3 linked regions of the Callithrix jacchus genome follow. The protein of the gene in region 2 interacts with the protein of the main gene of each other region in a pairwise test. Links are inferred from orthologs where the notes say so. Each region holds a gene or a part of one and is shown on either strand. Other genes may lie near its edges. The genes, in order: KHDRBS1, ITSN2 and WAS.

The links.
Region 1: the proteins of ITSN2 (region 2) and KHDRBS1 interact in a two-hybrid assay, tested with the Homo sapiens proteins (2 studies listed by BioGRID and IntAct, with this or other methods). The link is inferred for Callithrix jacchus from reciprocal best matches to the Homo sapiens genes ITSN2 and KHDRBS1.
Region 3: the proteins of ITSN2 (region 2) and WAS interact in a two-hybrid assay, tested with the Homo sapiens proteins (2 studies listed by BioGRID). The link is inferred for Callithrix jacchus from reciprocal best matches to the Homo sapiens genes ITSN2 and WAS.

What each region holds. Positions count from the first base shown.
Region 1 is NC_133508.1:68,645,371-68,649,024, forward strand, and holds part of KHDRBS1 (KH domain-containing, RNA-binding, signal transduction-associated protein 1), read left to right. Parts: intron 1-658; coding exon 659-805; intron 806-3,425; coding exon 3,426-3,559; intron 3,560-3,654. UniProt on the Homo sapiens protein: Recruited and tyrosine phosphorylated by several receptor systems, for example the T-cell, leptin and insulin receptors. Once phosphorylated, functions as an adapter protein in signal transduction cascades by binding to SH2 and SH3 domain-containing proteins.
Region 2 is NC_133515.1:91,037,445-91,041,098, forward strand, and holds part of ITSN2 (intersectin-2), read left to right. Parts: coding exon 1-21; intron 22-607; coding exon 608-729; intron 730-1,478; coding exon 1,479-1,561; intron 1,562-3,654.
Region 3 is NC_133524.1:49,258,366-49,261,416, reverse strand, and holds the end of WAS (actin nucleation-promoting factor WAS), read right to left. Parts: intron 2,801-3,051; coding exon 2,686-2,800; intron 941-2,685; coding exon 885-940; 3' UTR 624-884; downstream 1-623. UniProt on the Homo sapiens protein: Effector protein for Rho-type GTPases that regulates actin filament reorganization via its interaction with the Arp2/3 complex. Important for efficient actin polymerization. Possible regulator of lymphocyte and platelet function.

The sequences.
Region 1 (3,654 bases), on a different chromosome or scaffold from region 2:
TTTCTTCTTTATGCTTTTAATAAGAGCTCCAGTGGATAGCTCAGTGATTTAAGACAGCAATTAACTGTTAGCAGCAGACCACGTGCACGTTTAGCAGGTTGTGCAAATTACTATTCTTCAGAGCTTATTTTACTTTCAGAGCTTGTTTTACTCTTTTTTTTTTTTTTTTTTTTTTTTTGAGACGGAGTCTTGCTCTGTTGCCCTGGCTGGAGTGAAGTGGTGCAATCTCGGCTCACTGCAACCTCCACCTCCTGGATTCAAGCAATTCTCCTGCCTCGGCCTCCTGAGTATCTGGGATAATAAGCGCGTCCCACAACACCTGGCTAATTTTTGTATTTTTAGTAGAGATGGGGTTTTACCATGTTGGTCAGGCTGGTCTCAAACTCCTGACTTCATGATCCGCCCACCTGGGCCTCCCAAAGTGCTGGGATTACAGATGTGAGCCACTGCACCTGGCCTCTTGTTTTACTTTCTTAAACTTTCCTGTTTTTCTTTCTTTTTTTTTTTTTTTTTTAACTCTTCTCAGCTCATACCAATTAAACTTTGTTGTTTTTCTTAGACATTAGGGTTATTTCTTGCTGTTCCTTTGGGTTAGAAGTAAAGGTGTTGTTTTCTCCCTAGTCCATGTGATAGGACATTTCTCTGCGTTTTTCCATAGGAGGAAGAGCTGCGCAAAGGTGGAGACCCCAAATATGCCCACTTGAATATGGATCTGCATGTCTTCATTGAAGTCTTTGGACCCCCATGTGAGGCTTATGCTCTTATGGCCCATGCCATGGAGGAAGTCAAGAAATTTCTGGTACCGGTAAGGAAATCCATATTCTGTGTCTTCTGAGCAAAAGAGAACTGGGATCTTAGGCTGTTGTGAAGGTAGGGGTTCTTAACTAAGATCTCTGTATAACCTGTATGTATACCAAATTCTTCATTTATGTTCATTTTCCTGAGTTAGTTCATTACTTGTACCTAGTTCTCAAAGCATTATGCTCCAAGGCCACTCTATGCCTCCTTGTGTAATGTGGTTTTCATTGTGTACCTGTATCTGTTGTCAGTATCTTGGGTCCACAATGTGTCTGCTTTCTGATATTTGGTTAACTAAGGTTTAACAGGGTCTTTACCTAGCTGACTATTTTGGTAGTAGTGTGGAACAAGGAGATTGTGTTAAGAACATGACTAGGGTGGGTCCCTGTACTCAAGAAATTTATGCTGTAGAGTATAGGCTAGCAACGAGAAGCTAATAGCATTTAGTGTTACTGGATTAAATTCTGACCTGAGCACACTCAGGGATTTCTCTCCTGGAGGAGTTTGCTTTGGACGAGGCATGATTGTTGTAGGCTTGACTGTCAATGTTTAACAGATTGGTGTGCAGCGTTTTTCAGACGGTAACTGAGGACTAGATAGAGATGGGACAGGCCAGTTTATCTATTTTGCTTAGTACTACCTGGTCAGAATATTACTTTGAATAAATAGGAAATGGTACTATTTTTGACTTTTAGCAAGGCTTGGTGGTTGCCAAAGTTAACATACTACTGTTGAATATTTAATAACAAGGATGAATCTGGAACCTTATGAAGGATTTGGAATATTATTCAACTAGAATTAAGTGTCATGTGTTCATTATTAAACTAAGAGGAGATAAGATAACAGTCCTTGGTTTTCCTGAATGTTAAATGAGGGAGTTGGAAATAAATTTGGTGTTAGAGGATATGAAAGTTGACAGAGCAAAAATTTATGCTGAACTCCAAGGAGTCCAGTAGTTTCAAATGTCTTAGCAGCTGCTTTGTTTTCAAGTACCTCATCTTCATTAGAATGTTCAACATGAAACAGACTATTTAAAATATCCTAGAGAAAAACACAGCCAGTTAATCTTTCTTCAAGGGAATTCTTTTTACTCTCTTTGGGGTGTTCTATTGAACACCCAAGCCATTCAGTTTCCAAAGGACTCCAGACAGAATGCCCATCTCCTCTTTATTGTTGGTCTCCAGCATATTCCTCAGAAGTGTTAGGTTTATGAGGCTTCCATGTAAGTCAGTCCTTTAAAAAAGATACCTGCTGGGGAGATCTGGGTTTCCTCAGTGTTGATGTGATAGTTGGAGGAGTCTGAGCAGTGGTCTGGTATTGGTTACTTGATTCTCCAAGGTGTGCATCTCAAGCAGCAGTAATGCTTGAGATACACAGTGTAAGGTAGGAGGAGGTGGAGTGTAAGATAGGAGGAGGTGGAGAGTTGAGGGAGCCATCAAAGACTAGAATCATCTGTTGAAGCTGTATACGCCTGGGATATATAATAATGCATAAAGTATTAAGACTGGCTCTCAAGAGGAATAGTGAAAAGATTTACAAATGGCATTTCGCTTGATTCTTCCTTCTCGCGGAGAAAAAAAGCGAGGCAATTTTTGCATCTGTAACCAGAGCCCTCCATTTTCTCCTTAGAACCATTAATTGTACCAGGAATGCTTCATGCTGCAGTAGGAAGAGCACAGGACTACATATGTCTCTCTTTCTGTGTCTTCCTAGACAGGTTATCATTTCACTTTTCTGAGCTTCAGGTTCCTTATTCATCCCAAACATTTGTTAAATATCTGGCAGATGTCTGATACTATGCCTGGGTATAAAGGTACAAAAATGGCTCCTGAAGAGCTTACAATGTGTGACAGACAATATTAAAATGATATGGTAAGTGCTTGGGTACAGAGAATTACATGGCACTTTGGAAAAAGAGGAGTTATGGGGTGGCATCAAGAGAAAGCTTTTCAAGAGACACTTATTTAGACAAGTCTTGTAAGGATGAGTTAAGAGTCCCTCAGGTGGACAAAAAAAGAAAATATAGCCTGTTGCTCCAACACCTAGATTTTGAGACAGGTAATTCTGAATTCACATCTAGAGTCTGCCATTTATTAGCTCTGTTCTTAGTCTGGGTGATGTATATTTCTTGAGTCTGTTTTCCTAACTGTAAAATGTGAAGATCTGCCTACTTCAAGGTCATTTTGAAAAACTTATATAAAGGTTAAACTGAAAAACTTATATAAAGGTTAGTATATAGAGCCAAGTACATACAGCTCTGTTAAAGGTCGTGGCTTTTATTATTCCAGGAAAAGGAACTATTTGCAAAGAATGGATGTGTAAGAGTATGCCAGGCTCTGAACTACAAGTTGTTCAGCCTAGCTTATGTGGAGGTTATATATAGAGGGAGAATGGCAGTGATCCAGAAAGCTAGGCAGGGATCACATTATGAATAATGAGGGGTCTGCCATCAAGATTTTCTCAAAGAGGTGACAGGTATGGTGCCATTTGACTTCAGAGAATGAATGACCTGAGACCTCATCTGAGCTCTCAAAGCTGTTCTTAGAATTCAAGACTCCTGTGGCCAGATGGTTTCTTAGTTGAAAGCGTAGATATCACACAGTACTCCTTGTATCTTTCATTCCCAGGATATGATGGATGATATCTGCCAGGAGCAATTTCTAGAGCTGTCCTACTTAAATGGAGTACCTGAACCCTCTCGTGGACGTGGGGTGCCAGTGAGAGGCCGGGGAGCTGCACCTCCTCCACCACCTGTTCCCAGGTAAAAATAATGGAGACACCCAGAAATAGGGTATAAATTTGATTACTAGTATCATCTCTTTTGGTGGTGCTCTTATGTCTAGCATAGAAAGGGTC
Region 2 (3,654 bases):
CAATTCAAAATGTATAAAACGGTTAGTATCATGTGTCTGGCAGTAGCATCAGGGGCCTAATGAGGTGTTATCTCTATCTTAAGGACCTTCCTGGCTGACCCTAAGCCGTTGTTATGGGACCCTCTTCACCTCTTTCCAGATGGCTCGTGCTTCTTTAGCCACTTCCCACAGGAAGCTCTCCCCACCCACTGCTGGCTGTCAGCCAGGCTCCAGCTGAGATTCTGGCTTTCACCTGGCCAGCTGGCCAGCATGACACCTGGGCTCACTGCTGTCCATGTTCAGCGTTGGGTCTCTATAAGCTGAGCCCAAGCACAGCACCAGTACTGGTAGCAGTAGAGAGAGCCTTTTGCACCGGCAATTGTGGGCACTCGGAGCTCCTGTCCCCAGAACCAACACCTGACCCAACTCAGTGATTACTTTCACAGAAATGGAGGCTTCATTACTCTTACAAATGGAGGTTTAATTTGTTCTGTGTGGAAGAACTTAGACCCTAGACCCTTTTTCTCCTCAGCAAGGTTCTTCAGAACAAACAGAACTCTCTCTAGACATAGGTGGGTGGAGTGTTCTGGCCCATCTCACAGCCTGTGTTTGGCCCTAATTCTTTCAGCCCATTTTCCTGAATGAAGTCTTGGTGAAACTGCCCACAGACCCTTCCAGCGATGAGCCTGTCTTCCACATCTCCCACATTGATCGGGTCTACACCCTCCGAACAGACAACATTAACGAGAGGTCAGTCCTGACCATGTGTGGCCTGCCTTGAACCCCGGGAGAAGGCCTGGACATCTCCCTCTGCCATAAACCCATCCTCAGCTGTGCTCAAGCCCCACTACTCTGTATCCTGAACCTCTCTTAACACGTCCCCTCTGCTCCAGTCCCACAGTAGGCCTTGGTCACCGCAGCGGCCTCCTAACACGTTTCCCTGCTTCTAGTCTCTCCTCACACCACTCAGCAGTCTTTGCAAATGGCAAGTCAGCACCTCATGCCCTGCAGGGGCTGCCCACAGGCCACAGTCCATTGTGCTTTGCTGGTGTCCGCGGCTGCAGCCCCACATCCCACCACCCGCAGGCCTCCGCCCCCCAGGTGCCCTTGTGTGGGTGTGCCCCCGCCGTTCCCAGCTTCCTTCAGGCTGCCGCTCCAACAGCACCTCCGCGATGCCAACCCAGGGGGTGCTGCTGCTCCTCTGTGTGTGCTAGAACCCCTAGTGCCAAGGGTCATCTGTGGGGCCAGTGCATTGTGTGTCTCCGGGTCCCAGCGCCTTGCGAGTGCCTGGGGTTTTGTGATCAGTCAAGAAGGGTCATTAGCAGTTCTCAGCTGGATAAGCATAAGCGTCTTTCGGTTGACTAATATCAGGTCTTTGATAGGAAACTTTTGAAGGTTGAGGTTAGCAAAAGACTGAAGAATATGTGCAGAGCTCTGGGGCTCAGGGCTGAGCTATGAGGGTGGGAAGCGGCCAACAGCTAACCCTGCTTCTCCCACAGGACCGCCTGGGTGCAGAAGATCAAGGCAGCGTCTGAGCAGTACATTGACACTGAGAAGAAGAAGCGTGAGAAGGCTTACCAAGGTATGAGGGTGCCCAGAGGGTGGGATGTAGCCCCCAGGGGCCCTAGGGACCTCCTCCTGCAGTCAAGCTGATGAAATGGGGACGGGCGTGAAAGAGCAGACCTGCTGCAGGATCAGACCACAGAGCCCTCCCCTCTCGAAGCTACCATTGCAAACCCTTTTGGGCCCCTGCACACACAAACATGGGCTGGCAGTGCTGGCTCTGCCCTTCCCCCTCCCCCACACCTTCTCCAGTCCTTTCTCTCCACACCTCACCTCACCTCACCCTCACCTCACCTCACCTCACCTCACCCCACCTCACCCTCACCTCACCTCACCTCCTCACCTCACCTCCTCACCTCCCCCTCACCCTCACCCTCACCCTCTCACCCTCACACTCTCACCCTCACCTCCTCACCTCACCCTCACCCTCACCCTCACCCTCTCACCCTCACCCTCTCACCCGCACCCTCACCCTCACCCTCTCACCCTCACCCTCACCCTTACCCCCTCACCCTCTCACCCTCTCACCCTCACCCTCACCTCACCTCACCTCACCTCTGCTTGGGCCATCGCAGGCCAAACCTGTGGTTTGCCTCCCTTTAGTTCCCCAGCAGCCCCTGCTCCCCCTTGCTCTTCCGCCATCCATCCTCTCCCTTGGCAGCCAGGGGACTAGACCCTAAGTCTGCCCTCTCCTCCTCCTGCCCCTGCCTCCTCCCTCTTCTCACCTCACCAGACTTCAGTCCATGTCCTGTCCTGTCAGCAACACCAGTGGCCTAGTTAGGGGCTCAGCTCACTTTCCCTGCCCCAGCTCCCTGCACTGATGGCAGTCACCGAGGCTCCGCCTTCTCTCTGGACCCTGTGGTCCAGCTGGCCACACTCCTCGAAACCCAGACCTCTGAACAGCGCCCTCTAGAACCACCTGCCCCACTGCTCCCACATCACACATTGGCCTTTCCGGGGGACCACCAGCCTCCTTCCAGCAGTGGCTCCTCCTCCCAGGACCCTATGTGGACAGTAGTGTGGTCCCCAGTCACCCAGGCCCCTCCCTGATGCCTCACACCCGGTCAGCTGCAGGTCCTGCAGTGCTCCTCCCTCACCATTCTCCCATCGCCCTGCTCTCCTGCCCCCATGTCACAGGCCCCCGATCTCCCACCCAGGCTGCAGCACAAGGCTCTCTTTCCTCTCTGTCACCCATCCTCTTCATTTCTGGAGTATTCTTTCCAGAGCTGCTCTTACCTCTTCCTGCTGAAGTATCTTCCCTAGCACCTCCCAAATTCAGGACACATTTCCTGCCGCACACTGAGGGCCCATCCCCACTATTACGTGCCACCCAGCCCCATTTCCAGCTCTTTCCTGTGTCCAGCCATCCACCTGCCTAGTTGAGCAGCCCATCGTTGCCCTGCCCAGCCTTCCCACGCACACCCCTCCTCCAGCAGAAGTGCTCTGTCCCCACCTTAAATTCTTCCCATTCTTCAAGGCTCACATCAAGGTGTCCTCCATGTCACCTTCCCTCATGCCTTGACCAGCATGACTTCTACCTGGAGCCCCCGCTGTCCTAAGGCTGTGATCATTCTGTCTCTGGATTCTCATCCTCTGTTGTCTCTGCTTGCGCCCCGAGCCCCCGCTTTTCTCATGTAATGGCCATAAGCTCCCCGAAGGCAACCCCCTGCCCCGCCAGGCCCAGCATGTAACTTAGGCCGGTGGGGCTCCAGATTTGTTATATTCGTAGTGTCCTCTCTGTTCATGGCACAGCTTACTCACCTGCTCAGTGGAGCTGCCATGGTCTTTGTAAAGCACCCCCCACAACCCCGCTCTGCCGTGGCCCTCAGACCAGAACTGCCATTCTTCTCCAGCCTCCCTGCTGTATGTCCAGCTGTGCCAGGCCTGCCTGTGCAGCTCATGGGAGGCTTGTGCTCTGAGCCAGCTGCACCTCCACCCTTCCTCCCCACCCGGCCCCCATGCAGCCTGCCCTCCTGCCCAGGCCTCCTGCCAGCTTCCTGGCTGCTATAGTTGCAGCTCTTTATGTGTTTTTTCATTCAGGTTTCCCCTATTTTGTTATATACTCCTACAAGGTATGTTTAAAACAGCTTTTGCTAATTTAATATTATTTTA
Region 3 (3,051 bases), on a different chromosome or scaffold from region 2:
TGGCCTCCCAAAGTGCTGGGATTATAGGCATGAACCACTGTGGCCGATTTAATGATTTTTTAAAAAAATAATTAAATGCATGACATCTGGCCTCATGTCAAGCTTTTTCTCACCTCAGGGCCTTTGCACTGGCTGCTCCCTTTGCCTGGAACCCTTTTTCCCCAAATATTCACTTGGCCGACATTTCTGTCTCTTTAGGTACAGCACCACCATCACCTCCTCGAAGTAGCTTTCCCTGATCTCTCCATCTGAATATTGTTTCATCTGTATCTCTGCCTTACCACTCCACAGCATTTATCATGAGTCTGCAATTATTTTTTTATTTCTATTTGATTTCTTGTTTCTTCTCTGCCTCCTCCCCTAGAATGTGGATTTCACCCCATAAGGGCAGGAATTTTTGGCTGTTTTCTTCCACTGCTTGATCCCTAGCCCCTAAAATAGTACTTGGCAATAAATGTTTATTGAAAGACAGAGGGGCAGAAGGAAACACAGAAATACAGGCTAATTGACCAAGGGAATAAATTAGTGAATGAATATATATATATACATGTAAGGCTAAATGAATAAAAGGAACTTTGGTGGAAAGAGACCCACATTTGGAATGTAAACAGACTGAGAATTATAGAGAGACAAAAAGACAATTCTTTTAATTTTTGTTTAAAAATCCTTGAGTGAAGAGAACTGAGAATTTTTTTTATAAAAGGGGCCTTGGGATTGCTAGGGTGAGTGTGAGGACCAGGCGGCAATAACAGCATTGGAGGGGTTGATGGGGAAGAAATGAGGGTTGAAGGCCTGGAAGAGGAGAGTGGAGGGTGGGCACAGAGCAGGTAGAAGGGGAGCCATTTCCTACAGGTAGGAGCGCAGGGCAGCAACAGCTCAGCCACTCAGTCATCCCATTCATCATCTTCATCTTCATCGCCAGCTTGGTCCTCCCCTTCATCTGGAGGGAAAGAGAAAGATGCCCTGGGAGGTTGGTGGGGGGCTTCATAGGGTCTGGGAGGTAAGGACTTGACCCTGGGGGGCTGAGGTCTCCTGCTAGAAGATGGTACATTAGAGTTTCCATTTGGGACAAGAGAGGAATTATAGGTAGGGTCTGAGTTCTAATTGGAGTTGAAGTTTATATTGTCAAAAATGTGGTTAGTCCAGATGTTGTCAAATAAAGGGTTAATGTTAACCTATTTATTGGAGTGAATTTAAATATTATTAGCAAAGGCAGGATAATTTATTATTGTTTTTTGTCTGGTTAATGCTAATATTTTTGACACATAATGAGGTTAATGACAATAACATTATCAAAATTAGCTGGGCGTAGTGGTGCACCTGTAGTCTCAGCTACTCAGGAGGCTGAGGCAGGAGAATAGCTTGAACCCAGGAGGCAGAGGCTGCAGTGAGCCAAGATCGTGTCACTGCACTCCAGCCTGGGTCACAGAGCAAGAGTCTGTCTCAAAAAAAAAAAAATCATTGTCAAAAGATGAAGTTCCTATAATATTGTCATATAATAGATTCACCTTAATCTGTGGACACACTGTGGTTAATGTTGTTAACATTAATGTCAAAATTGGAGTTAATTGTATTATTATCATTTAGTGGGTTGAGATTAATATTATCATCATATAATGATTAGTGACAGTATTACTGACACATTAAGAGAGTAATAGTAACATTATCATAAAAAGATAAGGTTAACAGTCAGGCATGATGGCTCATGCCTGTAATCCCGGCACTCTGAGAGGCTGAGGTGGGCAGATCACTTGAGCCCAGGAGTTGCAGAACAACCTGGGCAACATAGTGAGCTCTCATCACTACCAAAAAAGCATCAAAAATGAGCTGGGTATGGTGGTCCATGCCTGTAGTCCCAGCTACTCTGGGAGCTGAGGCAGGAGGATCGCTTGAGCCTGGGAGGTTGGGGCTGCAGTGAGCCATGATTGCACCACTGTACTCCAGCCTGGGACACAGAGCAAGACCCTGTCTCAAAGCATTTAAGAAAAAATATTACATTATAAGATTATTATCTCATAATGAATTAATATAAATCTGTTGACACGTGGACTTAAAGTTAATATTATTGTCAACAATGGTGTTCTTCATAATATTTTCATCACATAGTGGGTTAATGTTTCTTTTTTTTGAGATAAGATCTCTGTCACCCAGGCTGGAATGCAGTGGCACAATCATGGATCACTGCTGCCTTGACCTCCCAGGCTCAAGCAATCCTCCCACCTCAGCCTCCCAAGTAGGTGGGACCACAGGTACTTGCCACTATGCCCAACTACTTTTTTAAAATTCTAGTTTTTGTGGAGACGAGGTCTTACTATATTGCCCAGGCTGGTCTCGAACTCCTGTGCTCAAGGGATCCTTCTGCCTTGACATCCCAAAGTTCCTGGATTACAGGCATGAGCTACCGTGCCCGGCCAGCTGATGTTACTGAACATAAGGGAATAACCTTAATATTGTGGACACACCCTGGCATTAATGTTAATATTATTGTCAAAGTTGGAGTTAATTATATTATTGTCACATAATGACTTAATGTTAACATTGTCAAAAAGGAGACTGACACAAGATTCATGTTAATGCTGTCAACAGATGGGACTAATGTCAGTATTGGTGGTGACTGCTGGGATTGTTTTGAGGCCAGTGCTAGCCCTGGGAGCCAGGTTTGAGGCCCTGGCAGGATCAACTCACCGGAGGAGTGGATGGCTCTGCTTCTCTTCTGCATCACATTCATCAGGGCCCCCACCAGTCCCTCTGAGCTCTGAGGTGGTGGCTGCAGTGCTGAGCTCTCTGTGGTACCAGGGGTCTGCAGCAGGCAGGGGTCAGCACAGAGGGTTCAGGGCCTGGGAAAGGAGCATTTCTCCCTGCCCCTCCATCATTATTTTCCCTTCCACACACTCCAGTCCCCTTCAAGGCTCCCCATCAACTTTTCTTTCTTTTCTTTTTTTTTAGAGATGGTGTCTCACTATGTTGCCCAGGCTGGAGTGCAGTGGCTATTCACAGGCACGATCCCACTATTGATCAGCACGGGAGTTTTGACCTGCTCCGTTTCCCACC